Linked DNA regions of Macaca fascicularis. The protein of the gene in region 1 interacts with the protein of each later gene in a pairwise test. Links are inferred from orthologs where the notes say so. Each region holds a gene or a part of one and is shown on either strand. Other genes may lie near its edges.

Evidence for each region.
Region 2: the proteins of MAGED1 (region 1) and KPNA2 interact in binary tests that used the Homo sapiens proteins (3 or more experiments, as listed by UniProt). The two-hybrid records come from large-scale screens. The link is inferred for Macaca fascicularis from reciprocal best matches to the Homo sapiens genes MAGED1 and KPNA2.
Region 3: the proteins of MAGED1 (region 1) and RBFOX2 interact in binary tests that used the Homo sapiens proteins (3 or more experiments, as listed by UniProt). The two-hybrid records come from large-scale screens. The link is inferred for Macaca fascicularis from reciprocal best matches to the Homo sapiens genes MAGED1 and RBFOX2.

The regions. Positions count from the first base shown.
Region 1 is NC_088395.1:51,964,705-51,968,189, reverse strand, and holds part of MAGED1 (melanoma-associated antigen D1), read right to left. Parts: intron 3,170-3,485; coding exon 2,501-3,169; intron 2,371-2,500; coding exon 2,307-2,370; intron 2,083-2,306; coding exon 2,003-2,082; intron 1,837-2,002; coding exon 1,745-1,836; intron 1,518-1,744; coding exon 1,438-1,517; intron 1,347-1,437; coding exon 1,304-1,346; intron 1,051-1,303; coding exon 988-1,050; intron 1-987. UniProt on the Homo sapiens protein: Involved in the apoptotic response after nerve growth factor (NGF) binding in neuronal cells. Inhibits cell cycle progression, and facilitates NGFR-mediated apoptosis. May act as a regulator of the function of DLX family members.
Region 2 is NC_088390.1:74,459,525-74,463,271, reverse strand, and holds the start of KPNA2 (importin subunit alpha-1), read right to left. Parts: upstream 2,772-3,747; 5' UTR 2,668-2,771; intron 1,391-2,667; 5' UTR 1,368-1,390; coding exon 1,293-1,367; intron 1,144-1,292; coding exon 1,006-1,143; intron 1-1,005.
Region 3 is NC_088384.1:15,622,234-15,625,980, reverse strand, and holds the start of RBFOX2 (RNA binding protein fox-1 homolog 2), read right to left. Parts: upstream 2,640-3,747; 5' UTR 2,564-2,639; coding exon 2,378-2,563; intron 1-2,377. UniProt on the Homo sapiens protein: RNA-binding protein that regulates alternative splicing events by binding to 5'-UGCAUGU-3' elements. Prevents binding of U2AF2 to the 3'-splice site.

The DNA.
Region 1 (3,485 bases):
CAAGAATTGCTTGAACCTAGGAGGTGGAAGTTCAAGCGAGCCAAGATTGCGCCACTGCACTCCAGCATGGGCAATAGAGTGAGACTCAGTCTCGAAAAAAGCAAACAAAAGAATTCGCCGGGTACGGTGGCCCACGCCTTAATCCCAGCACTTTTGGAGGCCGAGGCAGGAGCATCACCTGAGGTCGGGAGTTCGAGACCGGTCTAACATGCAGAAACTCCATCTCTACTAAGAAGACAAAATTAGCTGGGCGTGGTGGTGCATGCCTGTAATCCCAGCTACTCGGGAGGCTGAAGCAGGAGAATCGCTTGAACCCAGGAGGCAGAGGCTGCAGTGAGCCAAGATCATGCCATGGAACTCCAGCCTGGGCAACAAGAGTGAAACTCCATCTCGAAGAAAAGAAGAAAAGAAAAGAAGAGAAGAGAAAAGAGAAGAGAAGAGAAGAGAAGAGAAGAGAAAAGAAAAGAAAAGAAAAGGAAAGAAAAGAAAAGAAAGAATCTAACCACGAGGAGTATATGCAATAAATACTCCTGAGGACACACGTTTCTGTACGCACAGAAACACATATGCACAGGTACAGTGTAAGAAATGAGCTTCAGAAGGGCTTTTTTTAATTTTTTTTTTGGAGACAGGGTCTCGCTCTGTTGCCCAGGTTGGAGTGCAGTTGGCATGATCACAACTCACTGCAGCCTCAACTTCCTGGGCTCAGATGATTCTCCCCTACCTCAGCCTCCCAAGTAGCTGGGACTACAGGTGCATGTCACCACGCCTGGCTAATTTTTGTATTTTTTGTAGAGATGGGGTTTCGTCATGTTTCCCAGGCTGGTCTTGAATTCCTGGGCTCAAGGGATCTGCCCACCTGAGCCTCCCAAAGTGCTGGGATTACAGGCGTGAGCCATTGTACCTGTCCAGGAAGGGCTTTCTAAAGCTGACCAGCACACAGGCAGAATCATAGGGAGCAGGAAAAGCCCCTTAGGCATCACTTACTTTTGCTTTACAAACTCGTAGGTGAGAAGTTTCCTTAGATCTCCAAGGAGGGGATGTCTCACCCTGAAGGTAAAAAAAGGAAATCCACAATCAGAGGCTATTACTATGCCCAAAGAGCTTTCCAGAACAGAGGTCAGAGATGAGAAAAGAGGCAGAGAGTTCAGAACTGTTCCCCCATCCACCCAGGTTACATCTTTGGGCTCTGAACATCCCCAAACCAAACCCTCCAGACCCCCAGGTTAATGCAATCCTGGGACCATCCACTGTTGCCAAAGGATGGTACAAACGGGTAAGAGATGAGAGAGCCCAATCATACCCAGGACGCAGTCCCATCTTGCGTAGTGCCTCCCAGAGGACAGCTGCAATGGGAGGCAAGGGGAGACAAGGGACGGAAAATAAGCATGGAAATCAGGCTGTGGCCAACCCCCAGCTGCAGGTCCAGTCACTCACCCTCACTGGCACGGTTGCCATTCATGAAGATGACACCCAGAATCACCAAGAGGAGACCGAGCTTGGGTGTGTCTTTGGTCCTAAGGGAATATAGAAAGAATGTATTTTCAGCAGCCATTTGCATGAGAGACCCCAACCAGCTTACCCATCTAGCCTCCCCAGTATTCCTCAGCTAGGGGAGAATTATACCCCAGCTCTGCCCATGACCTGCTATGTGACCCTGAACCCTGGACCCTGATCTATGTGAAACTCCTGGAAAAAAAGCACCACTGAGAAAGGCCATGCTCCACCTTCTTTCCCATCTTACGTTCCCAGTATGCCAGCCAGGGACTCGGGGGTACTGATGAGAATATACAGGTGTTCTTCTTTGTCAATTTCTTTCAGCTGAATCCCAAATTTCTACAGGGACAAGAAAACAGACCATGAAATTACAACATCTAGCATAAGCTACCCATAGGCAGACACTCACCTCCCTGAGACTTGCCCTAAACTCCCAATAGGAACCCCATGAATCTTTGAAATCAACTTTCCCCATTATTCCTGTCCCCCAGGGCTGTCTTCTCACCTTCTCTAGGACAAAGCATGCACGTTCAATGATTTCTGGATAAACATCAGTGTATTCACGGATGATATCTCTCAGCATTTCTGTAGGAGAGAGGAGGGAGCCATCTGAGCCGAGTGGAGGCCACAGAGCAGCAGTCCCTTTGCCAGCCCTGCTGTGGGTAGCACAGTCAAGGTCCTCAAGGGTGAAAAGAGCCAACCATGGAAAGGAGGGGACAGAAGGGGAAGGGTCATACAAGCAGAAGAACACCAACAGAGCATGGAGTGAAGGGAAGGGTAGAGCTTGGGGAGGGGACACGGATGCCTACCTGAGCGCTTGATGGGCACCTTTGTGTAGTCCTTAAGCATCAAATACTTGACCAACTTATTTGCCTGGGAGGGAAAAAGGAAATCATTAAACTTATAAGATATTTACAAAAAATCTTGGTTGAATTATAGATGAGAGGGTGACAAAGAAAAGAGCAAGAGAGGGGAAAAGTGACTGGGGAGTTACAGCTCTTACTCTTTCCTGAAGAAGGGCCACATCTCGGGGCTGTGCAGCACCCGGGTTCTGTGAGGCACGCGAATTGGGGGAAGGGCGCAGGTTAGGCGAGGGGCGCAGGTTCTGCCAATCAGGTGGAATTGGCCAATCAGCGGGGATCCAGTCAGGTGGTAGTGGCCAGTCAGTGGGAAGTGGCCAATCGGGTGGCAGTGGCCAGTCGGGTGGTAGCGGCCAGTCAGGAGGACCTTGCCAGTCTGGAGGACCCTGCCAGCCTGGTGGGGTCTGCCATCCAGGTGGGGTCTGCCATCCAGGTGGATTCTGCCAGGCCAGTGGATTCGGCCAGACAACAGGGCCAGGCCAGACAATGGGGTTTGGCCAGATCACTGGGTTCTGCCAGATTACTGGGTTTGGCCAGATCACTGGGTTCTGCCAAGCAACTGGGTTCTGCCAGGCTGGTGGGGTCTGCCTAGCTGGAGGGCTCTGACGTGCTGGTGGGGTCTGCCTGGCTGTCTGGTTTTGCCAGCCTGAGGGGTTCTGCCAAGCCAATGGCGTCTGCCAGAGCACGTTGGGGGGTGCGCCAGGTGGGTTCTGAGTGGTCACTGGAACTGGTGCAGACCTCCAGGTCCCTGCAGCCAGTGGGGCCCGCCTCTGATCCCCACTGCTGTTCTCTTCAACATTCAAGTTATTAATCTGTATCATCAGAGAGAAGAAAAGTTCAGAATCACCAGTGGGTTCTGTGTCCTTACCTTATCTATTCCAGGAATGCCCTCTAAACCCTCACCTGTAGTGACAGCCTGACCCACTAGCCATTGGTCACCCTGAGTCCTGGGTTTGTCTTTCACTGTCTTCCAGGCAGGAGTTTCATCTCCGAACCAGGTCAGGAACAAACCAAAGATGGGGACTGAGGCTTCTCCTCTTCCTATGTCCACCACTGGCTCTGTCTGTACCACCCTGAACAAATCACTCAAGTCACTTCACTTCTCTGCCACTTAATTTCCTTCTCTGT
Region 2 (3,747 bases), on another chromosome or scaffold:
GAGGCTACCGTAAATATTTCAGAAGGAAAGTCCTGAACAAAGCTGGTGACAAATACAAAAAAAGAGAGAATACCAAAAAAGGCAGAAATAAACCAAAAACGGGCAGGGCCTGGTGGCTCACGCCTGTAATCCCAGCACTTTGGGAGGCCAAGGCAGGCATATCACGAGGTCAGGAGTTCAAGACTAGCATGGCCAACATGGTGAAATTCTGCCTCTACTAAAAATACAAAAACAGACCGGGCAGTGGCTCACACCTGTGATCCCAGCACTTTGGGAGGCCGAGGCGGGTGGATCACGAGGTCAGGAGATCAGAGACCTTCCTGGCTAACATGATGAAACCCCGTCTCTACTAAAAATACAAAAAAATTAGCTGGGCAGGGTGGTAGGTGCCTGTAGTCCCAGCTACTTGGGAGGCTGAGGCAAGAGAATGGCGTGAACCTGGGAGGTGGAGCTTGCAGTAAGCTGAGATCACACCACTGTACTCCAGCCTGGGCGACAGAGGGAAACTCAAAAAAACAAAACAAAAAAAAAATACAAAAACTAGTCAAGCATGGTGGTGCGTGCCCGTAATCCCAGCTACTCAGGAGGCTGTGGCAGGAGAATTGCTTGAACCCAGGAGGCAGAGGTTGCTGTGAGCCAAGATTGTGCCACTGCACTCCAGCCTGAGCAACAAAGCAAGACCCCGTCTAGGGAAAAAAAAAAAAAAAGAATAAACCAGAAACTGGTTGGCTCTGGACACAGTGGTCAGGTCAAGGTACCCAGTTAGCAGCTAGAAATGCAGGGAAGTCTGAAGGAAGGTCAGAGCTAAAGGAAGATCCTAAATCAGCTTCAGTGGATTATGGAAGGCAGGAAAGAAGACAATTACTAATTGGGAACAGAGAAAAAGATCTTCACAGATAGTTACAACCTAAGGCTAAAAATGTTAAGTTTACTGGAATTTCTAAGAAAAGTTCCTACTGATTTTCTGGATTTCACGTAACTCATAAACCAAAATACATTTTTTACCTGGTTGTTGCGGTTTTCCTGCAGCGGAGAAGTAGCATCATCAGGAAATGAGCTTACGTTTCTCCTCTTCAGCATCTGGTCATCCTTCTTAGCTTTCCTCAGCTCCACATTGACCTCTATTCTGCGACGCCTCATTTCCTTGAGAAAAGATAACATGCCGTTTCACCTATCACATCAGTTTTTGTTGCTAAGTGAGGGTATTTTTAAAAAGATCCCTAAGTTTTCACCCCTTTCCAAATGTCCTCCCATTTAAACACCACCACAGGAAAGCAACAGAAGGTACTCACTGTACTGTCTTTTCCCTTGTTCTTGAATCTGTGAAGACGGGCAGCTGGTGTATTAGCATTCTCATTGGTGGACATGGTTATGAGACAAAGGGAGAAAGCTAAAAGATGGGCGAGGAGAAAAATATTTCCTTTATCATTTTCCTTTGTCAATAATAGTACCAAATAAGAATTGAATTATCAAGCATCTACTGAATCCACACCTGTATACTAGAGGGGGGATCATCATGCTTTCAGCACTATGAAATAGCTTTACCCAAACGGGAACTGTCCCCCTTCCCTCTGAAGCGCTGAGACTTCCTGGAGAGGGCTGTCCATCAGAAATAGAATGCAAGCTATATAAATTGAAACTTCCTAGTAGCCATACTTTTTAAAAGGCGAAAAGAAACAAGTGAAACTAATTTCAATAATTTATTTTACTTAACCCAACATATCCAAATAGTATTTCAACATATATATTTCAATATATAAAATAACTGACATCTTTTACATTCTTTTTCCATACTCTATCTTTGAAGTCTTTTGTGTACTTTAAGCTTACAGCGTATTTCAATTTGGACTAGCCACGTGTGTCCACCGTTTCTGACAGCCTGGCTCGATACTCCAGAGTCCCTAATAGTTAATCCAAGGCAAAGCAGGGGAACCAAGTTAACTTACAGCTAAAAATTATGTGCCAGGGCAATAAATTCAGATTCTCAGGAGGCTCGCACTACTTTACTGTCTTTACTTGGCCAAAATAGGTGCAGATTCGAAAACTAAAAAAAATTTGCTTCATCATTACATTATGGTCAACATTAAAAATGCAGTGCCGCATGTCGCATATTTGATTTGCATTTCCAGAGACTAGGAGCGAATGCACTTAATTAGGACGACATCAGCTGTGCGTCATTCAGAAGACGACAAAAGTCAAAGCCCTCCTTACAATTTGCTATCTTTGCTTTCATTACGCTCGCCTACGACTTGGTGGCACAGCCACCCCGGGGCCAAAGTGTCAGAGACAGTGCTCCCAACTGCCACCCCCAGCCCCTGCCCCTGCCCCTACGTCGGGGAAGATGCAACGAGAAAGGGGGAAGCGAGGCCAGGGCCGCCACGAGCCCTCCCGGGACATTCGCCCTCAGGCCTGGCTCGCTCCGATTCTCCCGGCCGCGACGCGTTATGGTCTCCGCTGCCGTTTGAAGAGCGTCGGCGCCCTAAACCCGCAGACCCCGCGAAACTCAGCCGCCTGGTCAATGAACCAGTCGCCCCCGAGGCCTAGACAACGCGGGAGGCTGAGCCAGGCTCGGCGTGGACCCGGGGCCTCCTTCCCCCCACCCAAAGGCGAACGCCGCCCGCGGGCAAACCGTTAGCGCTCGGGCCGAGCCGCCGCCTGAGTCTGTACCTGAGAAGCGGGCCCGGGCTTCCACGGGAGGCGATGCGGGGAATCAGCGGCTGTGGGACGGCTGCGCTCAAAGGGTCCACCTCGACTCAGCTCAAAGACCGTGTGGCTCGTGCAGCCGGCCGGCGCGATTTAAATTTCCCGGTGACTCCGCATTCCGATTGGCTGGTTCGAGCCCAAGCTGTGTGCCCATTGGTGGATTTGAAAAACACGTTGAGAGGGGAGGGAGTCATAGGGCTTAGGGGCGAGTGGGAGGGGGGGAAAAAAAAAAAAAAAGGAGGATGGCATCGCGAGATGAGGGAGCAGACGGGCGGTTCCCGAGCGCCTGGCCGGGCGGAGCGGGAGGACTCCAGATCCCGTCAAGCAACGCGAAGGGGCGGTCCCTGGGCCGTTCGTGTTTCCACTGGATTGAAGCGCGCATGGTCCCTGGGCGTTTTCCTGGGCGAGAGCCTTGAACAAATACCGCAAAATGATTCTCAAAGTCATTATTTTAAAAAAACTTTGTTGTTGATCTTCATGAAAATTAAAAAATGATAATTAGTAAATAAGTAATCTTTATAGAAAGACATATTGCTTTGCATTTTTTTCCTGTTACGATATCCGAAGAACTTGGCAGGGGTTTCTGGCCACTATGGGAGGGAAGATTTATGTTATATTTTTTAGTTTAGTTTTTTTTTTCAATTGCGTCGTAAAAGACTGTATAGAAGCCGCAAATATAGTAACAAAATATTTCTTATTCCTGTTTCTCCAAACACTCAAGTTTTGTATTTTTAAATAATTTCAAATGCAGCAGAATTGCAAATCCTTATCCAGATTTGCCAAATGTTAACACATTTGCTACTGCAATGTCTCTATACATATATATGTATACCTATGCACATGTGTACCTATGTGTGATTTCAATATGTTACTTTTTGAAACATTTGAGAGTTTCAGAATCATGTCCTTTTTCCTCTGTTTCACGGTGTATCTCCTAAGAAAAGACATTCTCTTACATAACCACACTGCAGTCGTCAAATTCAGAAAAACTGAAATTTCATGCTGTTGTTTAGTATGTAGTCTGTGTTCAAGTTTTGTCAATTG
Region 3 (3,747 bases), on another chromosome or scaffold:
GAAAGATTTCTGCAGGCACTCAGCTAGTTGAAGGCAGGACCTAAATCAGTGATGATCTGAATACCTGTATGACATAGGGGAATGGACCTACAACAATGAGAATGCACAGAAGGCTGGGTGTGGTGGCTCACGCCTGTAATCCCAACATTTTGGGAGGCTGAGGTGGGTGGACCATCTGAGGTCAGGAGTTCGAGAACAGCCTGGCCAACCTGGTGAAAATCCCCCTCTACTAAAAATACGAAAAATGAGCTGGGCATGGTGGCACATGCCTGTAATCCCATCTACTCAGAAAGCAGAGGCAGGAGAATCGCCTGAACCCAGAGGTGGAGGTAGAGGTTGCAGTGAGCCGAGATCGTGCCATTGCACTCCATCCTGGGCAAAAAAAAAAATGTATAGAAAGAAAATAAACAAAGAACACCCACAAATACACAGAGTGAAAAAAGGATTCTCAGAGGGATAGTTCTCAGCTACCCCCAAGGACCTAACCACTCTTTCCTCTGCACACCCCTGTGAAGTCCCTACATATTGCTCCATTTCCGAATATCACTATCTTTAGCCAATTTGAAGGCAACCAGCAGATAATAGGCCCCAGGAGTAAATGAGGGAAAGGGATGGGGGTCTCACTATTAACTATGATTGACAGAAATGATAAATGAATACATACAGACATACACACACACACACACACACACACACACAAAGTAGAACCTGCTCACCAGCACCTATATCCAGTCTTCCCTCCTTACCATCCAATATTAGCTCACCTCACCTGCAGTCTCCCATATTCCTGTCTTTTTTTCCATGGCCCTGAGCTTTTACTTCTCACAATCCCTCTACCTGACAGAGTTCTAATGGAAAATAAAAGCAGGCAAACAAAACAAAAGAATTCAAAAATAAACACCAAGAGGGTCACTTTACCTAAATCAACACAAGTAACAGGGTAAACTCTGCAAAGGAGACCAAGAAGCACACAACAAATACGCTAGGCTTAAGTACAGCTCCGTCCCTAACACAGGAAGTCAGGCAGAGGCTTGAAAAGCAGGGAGCAGAGCACAGGAAGTCTTTTAGCACTGCAGAGATTTCCAAGAGTGGTGTAATGGAGACAGCACAGGAATAGGAATTAGAAGACCAGGCTTCTGGTTCTAGTTTTACTATCAGCTAACTGGGTGGCCTTACCCAAGTCACTCATCTTCTCTGGACTTCTGATTCCCCATCTATAAAATAAGGTGGTTAAAACAAGCTGGGACTCAAATCCCCTCCAAAAAAAACCAAGATGAAAATTATTGACTCTCTGCCACCAAAAAGTGCACATCACCTTTTATAAGTAAGAATCTTCCTAGTCTGTCCAGGTTAAGAACCCCTGGAAAAGATGTCTAGTCTTCCTCATCCCTCTAACATCCTATGACTCTGAGAGAACTAGGCACATGTCTGCACAATTGCTGATAGGTGAGACTCACCATTTCATAGCAGTATTTTCTGGGCAGAGACCAAACCCTAAAACCTACAAAGGTTTCAAGGTCTTCCTCAAAACTATGAAGTCAACTGACATCATCAATACCTTTCCCATTCCCTACCCAAATTAACCACTTTTATCTTTGAATCCAGAATTGAGAATCCAGTCTTCTAATAGCCCTATAAATTTTTTTTTAATAGCCCAGGACATTAAAGAGCTATTTTGTGTCCTGGAGATGTAGAATGCAATTGGCAAAGAACAGGAGGGACATGTCTGGTGTCTCCCTTCAGACTCATTAGTATGCTCCACAAAGTTAATGAGACTGAGCACCACCGTGTCCCCACAACATTACCAAACTCCCTGTACTTCTCACACTCTCTGTGTGTTTTAACCCACAATCTCAGCCACATCCCCTCGGGGCTCTCTCTCGGAGTTTTCTTGCTTTTCACTCCTCTCCTTGAAACGCCACTTCTCTTCCCCATCCCAGCGGGTGCCCAGGGCTGCCAAAAGGTACTCCCTCTTCTTGGGAGGTTTCCCACGAGATCCCCTCTTCCTCGACTCCGTCCAGAGAACCCAGGATTTCCCGGCTTCCACTCCACCCCAGGGCACTAAGGAAGGATTTGAAGAAATGGAATCCATCTCAACCACGTTCGATTTCCCCCCAAAACCTATCCACTCGTCGTGCCTCCTCGCCCCTCAGGAATCAGGACCCTCTCAGGCACACCAGGATCAGTCCTGCAACCTTCGTTCCTAGCCCGAGCTCGCCCCACCTTCCAACCAGGCCCCGACTGGTCCCCCCATCCCACCTCCAACCCAGGACCCCCGGAGGCCCTCCCTCTTTCCAAGCCGGGGAGCCCGGGGTCGCCCCTCACGCCACTCCCCCTCTCCCCCGCAATAACTGGGCGCCCCGTCCCGCGCGGTCACCTGCATCCCGCCGCCACCGTCGGCCGCCGCCTCCTCAGTGCGCGGCCGCTTGCTCAGGCCAGGATCGGCTCCGTCTCCTCCGGCTCCGGGCACCGGCAGCTCCAGCTCCGACTCCCGCTTCATGCCCCGGGCAGCGGCGCCGGGCCCGAGCTGAGGCGGCTGCTGCGGCTGGGCGCCCTCCGCCATCCGCCCGCGCCCCCCTCGCCTCCGGGAGCCGGGCGACCCGCGACAGGCCACCTCCCCCTGGGCCTCGGCCCCGACTGTCGCGACAGGCGGGCGCGCGCCTGCCCCCGCCCCCCGCGTGCGTGCGTGCGTGCGTGCGCGCGAGCGCGCGGACTCCGCGCCCCTCCGCGGCTCGCACCCGCAGCTCCTCGCCTGGCCGCTCGCTCGCTCGGCCGCCCGCCCGCCGGGTTGTCGGCGCGGGGCCACTGGCGGGTCGCGACGGGCACTCGCTCGCACCCCCGCACGCACACGCGACACCCGGCCCGGCCCGCCGCGCCGCCCCGCCTCTCGCACTCCCGGAGCTCGCCCGCCGGCCGCGCTGGCTCACACTCTCCCTCACAACACGCCGGCCGAGGGAGGAAGGGGGCGGTCCGGGCTCCCAAGGCGTAGGGAGGGCTGTTTATTTGGGGGGAGGAGGGGCGCGAGGCAGGAACGAGCTGACTGGCCGGGATCCTCCGACCCGCCACTGTGGCAGCACCGGGAAGGCGGGGAGAGAGAAAGAGGGAGGGAGGGACCGGGATGTAGGACTCCAGCCCGCGCGGGAGGCTATGGCTAGGGGGGCGGTGGCGGCCTGCGGATGGGCGGGGCCAGCCCTTCTCGGCAATCTCCGTCGCCTCCTCGCTAGCTGCCCGAGGGAGGCTGGGAAGCGATCGGGGAAGCTCGGGAATCTCCGGCACGGGCCTGGGACTGTCCTGGAGGCTCCGCGCGGCAGGAGTGCCGGCCAGCGCAGAGGGGGCGGGGTCAGTCTCCTTTTGGGGCGGGGCCGTAGCTTGGAGCAGGCGGGGCTTGAGAGACCCGAGGGCCAGGGAGTGGCTCCTGCCTGTGGGACTAGTTGTACAGTGTTGTGTCCTGAGTTTACCCGCCTGAGCACCTTGGTTCCCGGGGAGGGAATGGGCACTCTGTGAGAGGCAGGCTATTTGCCTGCTTCCCCTCCCGCAGAAGGAAAAAGATCTCGAATTGGAAGGTCGAGGAATGAAGCCACCCGTCTGTAGTTCACCCCAGCTCTGAGCGCTTTTACTCTGACATAACTCACATTCCTAATGAAGTTAGTACTAATATCCGATGTTTGTAAGAGTTTTAGGGTTTGCACAATGCATCCACAGACCCATTTCAAACTGGTAATATAGGTAGATACCATGATCTCCATT